Linked DNA regions of Nothobranchius furzeri. The protein of the gene in region 2 purifies or fractionates together with the protein of the main gene of each other region. This does not show direct contact. Links are inferred from orthologs where the notes say so. Each region holds a gene or a part of one and is shown on either strand. Other genes may lie near its edges. The genes, in order: mob2a and serine/threonine-protein kinase 38-like.

The links.
Region 1: the proteins of serine/threonine-protein kinase 38-like (region 2) and mob2a purify together in Homo sapiens (affinity purification with mass spectrometry; 9 studies listed by BioGRID and IntAct, counting the BioPlex papers as one, with this or other methods). This does not show direct contact. The link is inferred for Nothobranchius furzeri from reciprocal best matches to the Homo sapiens genes STK38L and MOB2.

The regions. Positions count from the first base shown.
Region 1 is NC_091744.1:77,548,079-77,552,563, forward strand, and holds the start of mob2a (MOB kinase activator 2a), read left to right. Parts: upstream 1-1,555; 5' UTR 1,556-1,750; coding exon 1,751-1,866; intron 1,867-4,485. UniProt on the Homo sapiens protein: Stimulates the autophosphorylation and kinase activity of STK38 and STK38L.
Region 2 is NC_091741.1:59,878,565-59,882,761, reverse strand, and holds the end of serine/threonine-protein kinase 38-like, read right to left. Parts: intron 1,764-4,197; coding exon 1,640-1,763; intron 1,298-1,639; coding exon 1,202-1,297; intron 1,125-1,201; coding exon 1,033-1,124; intron 921-1,032; coding exon 796-920; 3' UTR 724-795; downstream 1-723. UniProt on the Homo sapiens protein: Involved in the regulation of structural processes in differentiating and mature neuronal cells.

The DNA.
Region 1 (4,485 bases), on a different chromosome or scaffold from region 2:
TTTTTTTTTACTCCTCATTTATGGTGAAGGCAGGAACCACTTTTTAGGATTAGATTATATTTGTCTCAACATTACAGGTTATACATAACAGAGTTGCAGAGAAATGTTAGTATGTAAATATATTGCAAATTACTTATTATATGCTTTAATGTAAATTTGATCATTTAAATATATATATTTTATAAAGTTAAAGCAATTTCAGTACACCCTCTTTGTGCAAAACGCCATCAGTTATGCAGGATGCGTAGCATTCCTTATCAACTCATTCGATCACACAGGAGGTTTAAAAATATAGAAGATATATTTCAGTTGATTTGGTATTCAAAAAGAATGATAAATGATCCGCACTTGTATAGCGCCTCTCAGAGTAAGGACTCCAAAGCGCTTTATGTTACAGTGTATCATTCATCCATTCACTCACACATTCACACGCTGGTGGGGATGAGCTACGATGTAGCCACAGCTGGCCTGGGGCGCACTGACAGAGGCGAGGCTGCCGAGCACAGGCGCCACCGGTCCCTCCGACCACCACCAGCAGGCAAGGTGGGTTAAGTGTCTTGCCCAAGGACACAACAGCAGCATTCTCTGTCCGGAGCCAGGATCGAACCTGCAACCCGATTACTGGACAACTCGCTCAACCTGTTGAGCTACTGCTGCCCCGAAACGCTCTCTGTTCCTGCTGCACAACACACACCTCTTCATACCCTAATTTAACCCCCATAAGAGGACACTTTGTTACCTTCATACACTAAATCAACACAATCTCCGTCTCATGTAGCCGCTCGCCTTAAGCCACAAAGAATCCGCCGCAGATCTCAGATCAGGTATTTCTGTTCGGCTTTAGAACGTTGACAATGAGAGGTGACGGAAGAGGAAGTGGGAATGTGTGAACTGAGCAGCCGAGTGAAGAATAAAAGACTGGATCGAGACCATAATTACAGGGGAAAGCTGAAGTTTGGCGACAGAAGTTGCAATTGTCTCATGAGTTGAACTCGGTCAGTTTTTATAACCTTTTGTTCAATTTGTTCCCAAATGCTGTTGTCTGAGCTCCTTGTTGACTATTTAATTAGAGCTTATATTTATCTTTTGCCTCAAACTGTAAAAGTTCTCAAATTATTGCTCCAAAGAAACCTCGGTGTGTGTGTTCACAGATCTGCCTTTAGCTCTCCAACGGGCTGTGTTTGATTCGCCCACTGGTTCCTCAGCCCTTCCTGCCGTGTCTGAACACGCCGTCATAACCGGACTCCAGGGTAGTTTCAGCAGCTCACCTCACAGTTTTAGCATGAACTATAATGGTACACTTATATTTTAGATGTGATTGCATATAAACTAGTGGCTGAGCTTTAGTGTTTGTTTATCCTATTTTTATTTTAAATATGTTTGGTTTTGGTTCTGATTTGTCATCTAAAGTGTTATTCATGGGTTGTTTATATTTTTATTTCTACTTATTGGCTGAATAAAAGTGTGATTTTCAGTCAACCTGTTTCTTACTCATCAGAGGATAAGACCAACTACATGGGCTGACTTCAACGTCACCAAGGCCCGCCCACTTGGTTCAAGCTCCTGCTCTGATTGGGCCAGAGTAAGGGGGGGGGTGGAGCTTCTTTAAGCTCTCCCTCAAAAGTTTTTCTTTCTCCTGTAAAGTGAGTCGGAAGCTTCCCTGAGCCGGAGCTCTGTGTCTTTGTCGGACAGGCCAAATGTAAAAGAGCTGAAGGAGAGAGTCTGACTTATTTTCTTCATGTTTTGAACTATGGTCAGAGATCACGCCTTATTTTCTTTAAAGAAGAAGGACATGCACCCTCAGAAAAATCCTAAAAACACATTAAGTTGCAAAATGGTTCTTCAGGCAGTCGGAAAAGTGCTACGGTAAAACAGTTTTCCCTTGGATCTGTATTTTAAAATAACTTTGATGTAGAGAATTTGAATGTAATACGTCATTTTTATTTTCTCCATTGTCTTAAAACATGACCTAAATATGATTCAGAGTTGTTTATATGTGACGTCTTCCACGAGTTTTCACACGTAGAAGTAAATTACTGTCTGGTGATGATGTCTCCGAGACACTCGTGCGTCCTCGTGTAGACTTTTCAGTCATTTAGGACATTTTCACTTGGAGCTCGGAGTGTTGTTGTTGTTTTTAGGCATTAAAATAACCGTGGCAGCGTTTTTTTACTCTCGTTTGACTGGTATGAAACGAGAGATCCTCCTTAAAACCAGAAGGAAATTGGTCCAGCTTTAACTCCTGAGGGAGCTCGGTGCTAATCATTTCACGTGTGTGTGGAGTGTGTTGTGGTGAAGTTGTCCTTTACCTTATTTTTTTCCAAGCAGCAGCCTACAGGGAGCATACCTTAAAACCTGTTTTGTTCTGCAACACAATGGGAGTGTTGCTGTCGATTGCGGAGGGAATATCATCCTAGCGGACGATAACGAGCATAACTTAAAGTGTTATTGGATTTTGTCGTGTCTGTTGCCAGACCTGAAGCGAGTGGAGACGAGCCTATCCACTCCTGATCAATCAGGAAGTTGAAATTTATTATTGTAAAGACTGCTCAGCCCTTAGGAAATACACTACAGAAGCCCAAGAGGGACAGTTTTTGTGCCGAAGCAGCTGCTTAGTTTGGTAGGAAGTGTCGAGAGTCTGTTTATGAAACTCCTAGCCTGTTTGGAGGCAGGTGTATATATAAAGGTAACTTGCATTAGTACGGCTCCTCTAGCTGGAGGAAAAACCTACACAACCAGATTAAACAAACACCCGTTTAGGTTTTAGAGTAGACTTTATTAATCCCACTGTGGGGAAATTCACTTGTTACAGCAGCACGTTTATCCATCATATTATCTTTTACAGCTAGATTCTCTTCATCTGTCAATAAAAGAGCCAATCGTGTTGGCATTTGCTGCATTGTTGAGCAGCAGTTTTGCACTGTGGCATCGCAGACCCCCGTGCTTGAATACGTGTGTGTTGTGATGCTGATGAGGCTCCATTATGATGCTAGCAGTGGGGAGTTCCTTCTGTACTGTGTTGGCCCTCAGAGTCAATGAATGGGATTAAGCAGGAGATTGGAAGAGGAAGATAAACAAGCCAGAGCTACTGTGGTATTGTGTTGTACTCCTACATGGCTACATTTCTCATTTACTGTATTTTTTTAACCCTCTTAAGGCAAAAATCAAGATTTTAGTTTAGTTTCTGAAACGATTCCTACAGCGACGTGGCCCAGCTGAATGTTCATCTTGTTGCTAGCCGTGTCTCTTTTTAGCCCCCGCTGCTGCTGCGGTTTTGCTCGGGTCTGCTCAGACTGCCATTTCCTCCATTTGTGGTTTTTAGGGGGAAAGAGGCTTTGGATCTTGGAAGAAACAGACGGGTCTGAAACATCCGGCTCACATCAAACCTTTTGTTTCCTACGCTTACTGATGAAAAAAGGGGAACATGTATGCGTCTGGTTTAAACGTCTAATCAGTGTGGTGGAATACTTTTTATTATGGTTTATTTCTTTTTGAGAAGAGGAACAAGTTGAAGCTAACCTCTCCAATCTCGTCATAAAGTTGCTGAGAGAACACAGCGGTTTGTTTTCATCAGCTTTTCACTGTTGGAGATCACATCGACTGCATCCATATGTTAATAGTTATTCTCTCTGCAATACAAACAAACAATTTAGGGAACTGTTGTGCAACTTCTGGCTTGGCAGGAGCCATCGGCTTCGGGGGGGGGGGGGGGGGGGGGTCATTACATGGGGTTATTAAACAGTTGTGTTTTAACATCACAGCAGGAACCAGTAAAAAACAATTGTTTTCATGCAGGAATGCTGGTGGATTCTTAATGGAGATGATGGTGAGTTATGGAAAATCGGCGTGTTTCGAGCACAGCCTCACTGAAGGGCTGATGTTTGTGCCTGAGCGGAGGAAGTGACGGCTGTTTTGTAGTAAATTGTTGTACTTCTGAGAAAGCATTTGAGCTAATTCGTTAGCGTAGCTGTGTGTGAACGAATGACCCGTACTTGTATAGCGCCTCTCAGAGTAAGGACTCCAAAGCGCTTTACACTACAGTGTTTAATTCATCCATTCACATGCACATTCACACACTGATGGTGATGATGAGCCACGATGTAGCCACAGCTGCCCTGGGGCGCACTGACAGAGGCGGTGTGTAATGCGTTCCCTTGCGGCTCCAGGGTTAATTGGAACCAGGTTCTGTTAACGAGACCGGATTGTAGACTGGCTCGTTTTTAGAAGTCTTCTTGGTTCATTTAGCACACAGCCACTAATATTTGCACCAGTCTGAGGCCTAGAAGCAGTTGTCTGTTTGCACAGTCTTGGTGGACGCAGGCGTGCAGAAACAAACACCCAAACCGGACAGAGCTCACCTATTCTCCGTTCCTCCCACGGCGTCTGGTTCAATCAGGTTCGTGACACAGCTGTTGACACCAGCTGGATCGGCCTTGAAAACTGAAAGGATGCTTGAGGCAGTGTCCTCTGTGTGTGTGTGTGTGT
Region 2 (4,197 bases):
CAAATTGAGGTCCATCATTGCTACCCTGCCTTGACGTTTCTTACCTTCTTTACCCCCCCACACGTAAAATTTCCTAGATCTGCCACTGGTTGCATCAAACAGCCTCCATAGGTCTTTCTGCTACCTATTCTACATCTCTACGGTCTAACTCTAGTTCTGCAGCCACCTGCTGTCTAGAACATTTCATTCAACGTTCCACACGTTAACCACACTGTAAGCTGCTTCTTCTCCCTGCGGCCCGTCTGTATCTGATGCTGAGGTTATTTGGACTGGACTTTTGAATAAGCTCAAAACAAGTCTCTACCAGCAACAACACATTCAACAGCACCTTAAATCATGCTGGAACTTCCCCCAACAGCATAGCGGCTTCAGCAGACGAGGGGATACTGTTCTCTTAAAAAGAAATTAGCGCGCGAGCTAAAAAGACACCAGTGTATGAACTATAAATGAGAAGATGGTAAAGCCGTGATTCAAGCTGTCAACAAAGGTTAAATAAAAGATGGTCCAGAAGTTGCTGAGCATGCAGATATGTTGAACTGGTGTCTAAGTTAGTGAGCTGGTCTGTGATCTACGGCTAAAACAACACAAATGATGCAAAAACAGCCGAGGTAATGCGGTAACGCTCCTTAATATCTGAGCTTTTGACGTCCTAGCTAAATAACTCAGTGATGAGGGTTATGTTGAGACTGAGACGCTGACAGCACAGCATTCAGCACCAGCGGGGCTTAGCGGCCCGACCCTGTCTCCATAAAATGTCTGTAATCAACCCCCCCCCACCCCACCCAGGCGAGGGTGTCAGGCCTTTCCTGCCTTCATGTACGTGGGGATGGTGCCTCGCTGAGTCAGACCCTCGAAGCGTTTGTACGTGTAGTTCAGGAAGACCCAGTCTTTCGATTTAAAGTCGGGTTCCGTCGAGTTGGCTGTTCACACACGCGCAGACAGACACACGCATAAAAGAAATAAATTAGGAATATTTTAAGAGTACGTACCACATCAACAAAGGAACAAAAACGTAACTAAACAATGACACACCAGGCTGAAGGATGTCTGATTCAGGGAAGTCGTCAAAGTTTGACGTGTCGTCGATACTTTTGATTTCAATAGAAATGGCTGCTGGCCGCTCCCTGTGCATAGAGATGAGACTTGTTGAAAATTTGGTTCTAATAAACCTCCTGACTTCTCCTAGACTGTTCTTTTGTACCTGATGTGCTCCCAATCCACCGACTCAAAGAAAGCATGGCTCTTGATCTCCTCCACACTCGCAGCTCCAACTCGGTTCTCCGCATCGGTGCAATACCTTAAAAACAAGAGCGGAACGTTAAAATGAAAAACGGTCAGATCATGTTGAGAATGACCAGATTCAAGCCATTAGCGAAACCAAATATGTTTTTCAGCAGCATCTAGATTTGATTCAAAGCTAGGCAGCAAGCCTAACTAGCCCACAGCTAACAAGCCTAACGGCCCTAGCCTGTAGTTGGATCATTATAAGTAATCCTGTACAGTATTCTCTACAGACATCTTACACTAAAGCAAACACACATTTTACGGCACATTTTTGTATCTTTCCAAAACAACTGAAAAAATCAACAGAAAAGGGATCCAATCTGAATGTTTGATGAGCTACAAGTCTAGGTAGAACCTTAAAATAAGGTCTTTGGCTTTCTCTGAGATGGGAACTTCAGGTGGGAAGACAAGAGTTTCCTTCCAGTTCATAACTTTTCTGTACGTCTCCTGTGGCGTCTCGGAACAGAAGGGAGGATAACCTAGAAAACACAAAACAAATCTCAATATGTAGCTTAGACACCACGCCTTTAAGGTATCTTCAGCCCAAAGGGAAAATCTGTCATTTTGTTGTTTATTTTTACTGGAGGAAAATCATTTCTTCCCCACTCAACTTTAACATCTATACTTAGTACATAATCAAAATAATTATGACATATATACATTTTTATCACTATTTATAAACATAGACCTCATAACAACCAGCTGACCGTAGAAAATACAACAACGGCTCTAAGTAAGTATATTTGGTAGTCAAAGAAAGATTTTGCTCTGCAGGTCTAACACTGGACGGAACAGTTTTGTGTCTTACCAATCACAGTGCTCTACGTTTGTTGGACGGGCTTTGCACCAGAGCTGCGATGGAAAAAAAGACTACAAAAATGGCATCAGCTCAGGAACAGCGCTTGTTTGAAATGGCTTTAGCATCAACTTTGGACGACTGACTCCTACTGCACACTGGAAGCATCAGTGGTGCAGAAGGGCAGCAGAAAGGTTTACTCACGACAATCGCTGCACTCCAGAGCACACATGGTCCCCAGGCTCCTCATAAGACTACAATGGATTCTAGTTGAAGCAATGATGTTCTGCCGCTGATGCTTCCAGTGTGCAGTAGGCTTTAGACTTGGGCTTTTCTTTGAGACAGAGGTACTGAAGTTCTTAATTTCAAAACCGGATGCGGAGGGGCTGACGTTGAGATCGTTGAGGACTACCGGTACCTGGGTGTACACTTGGACTGTAAACTGGACTGGACTAAGAACACCAATGCCATCTTCAAAAAAGGGCAGAGTCGGCTTTTCCTACTGAGGCGGCTCGGGTCCTTCAATGTTGGTAGGAAAATGCTGACCATGTTCTATCACTCGGTGTTGGAGAGCGTTGTGTTCTTTGCAGCTGTGTGCTGGGGCAGTGGGGTGAAGATAGCTGATGCCAACCGGCTGAACAAGCTGATTAGAAGGGCTGGGTCTGTCCTGGGTGTTAGACTGGAGAACCTGGAGGAGGTGTCTGAGAGGAGAATGCTAAAAAAGCTTCTCTCTATCATGAACAACCCCTCCCACCCCATGCACGCCCACATGATGGACCACCAAAGCACACGCAGCAGAAGACTCATTGCCCCGAAATGCAGAACTGACCGCCACAGGAAATCCGAGAGGGTGCTCGCTGCAGAACTACAAAGGCGGAGCTGCACCATAAGGTGGAGCTGCACCAGAGTCAACCCCGCCCATTCACGCAAACTCAGCCTAGCCCACTGACTTCCGTTTTTGTTTTCAACTTTATCGCAAACTGACCTGACCCACATGAATTACGGCTGTTACTAGTTTACAGTCGTTAATGCTATGTTCTGTGCTCCAATTAAACAAGATAAATATAACTTGCTACATGACAAAGTCTGAATATATCCCGAAATAAAAAGGTTTCTCGTAGCGAATATCTGCCCACAGCCGCTCTAACAAAAGTCCTGTACAACAGCATGTACCCTTCCTGTGGGTTCTGGTAGTCCAGTGGCAAGATCGTCTGACTAACGTTTTGCTTTCCCCTCAGCTGATGCTGGTTCGATTCTCGGTGGGGTCGGCAACAATCTATTCAGCCAGCTGAAACATTTAATTTGTTCATATTTTAGTTGTAATGTTCATTTATAGCAAAATATTTATGTCTCTACAAGTTCTTTGAATTTGGTCGTTCCTAAACAGCATTTTAGTTGAAACTCTGCTCACAGATGGACTCACACTGGCTAAATAAACGAATGAATAAATAAAAAAAACACATTAGTCATTATATGTTAAACGGCATACCAATAAATTGTTGTAAACATAGTACTGGCAAGTGTAGCTAGAAATGAGGAAAAGAGATTATAGAATATTTCCACTGCTGGGAGGCGAACCTGCGCAAAACTGCATGTCAACCTGACACCATTACCACTACACCACCACATCTGATAAAAATCAGGTGGCGTTACATTTTATTATGTTATTTGGTGTGTCTTTGTAGATGGGATGTATGATTTTTCTGGCGGTGTCTCAGTAGAAGTCATTTCAGAAATAAATTGTCAGAAAATTCACAGAATATCCAGATTTGAGAACCAAGACCAGACCCACTTTGGGGGAGGAGACCAAATTGAAGCTGAGATGGGAAGAAAATGCATGAATGAGGCCAAAAATGGCTTTGGCGTGTTTCTTATGAGGAAATGACAATATAACATGATTAAAAGTTCCAAAAGTTAGATTTTTAATTATATGGAACCTTTACAAAAACTGTTCAATTAACTTCTCAACTCCCTCCTCAATCTTGCATTTTTTAGCTATAACACCCTCTTTGTTTCCAGAATGCTATCAAGTCTGACAACTGGAAGGAATTGGACTGACTCCGATAGGATGGGCGGGGCTGATTCTGGAATGGGCGGGGCTGACTCTGGTGCAGCTC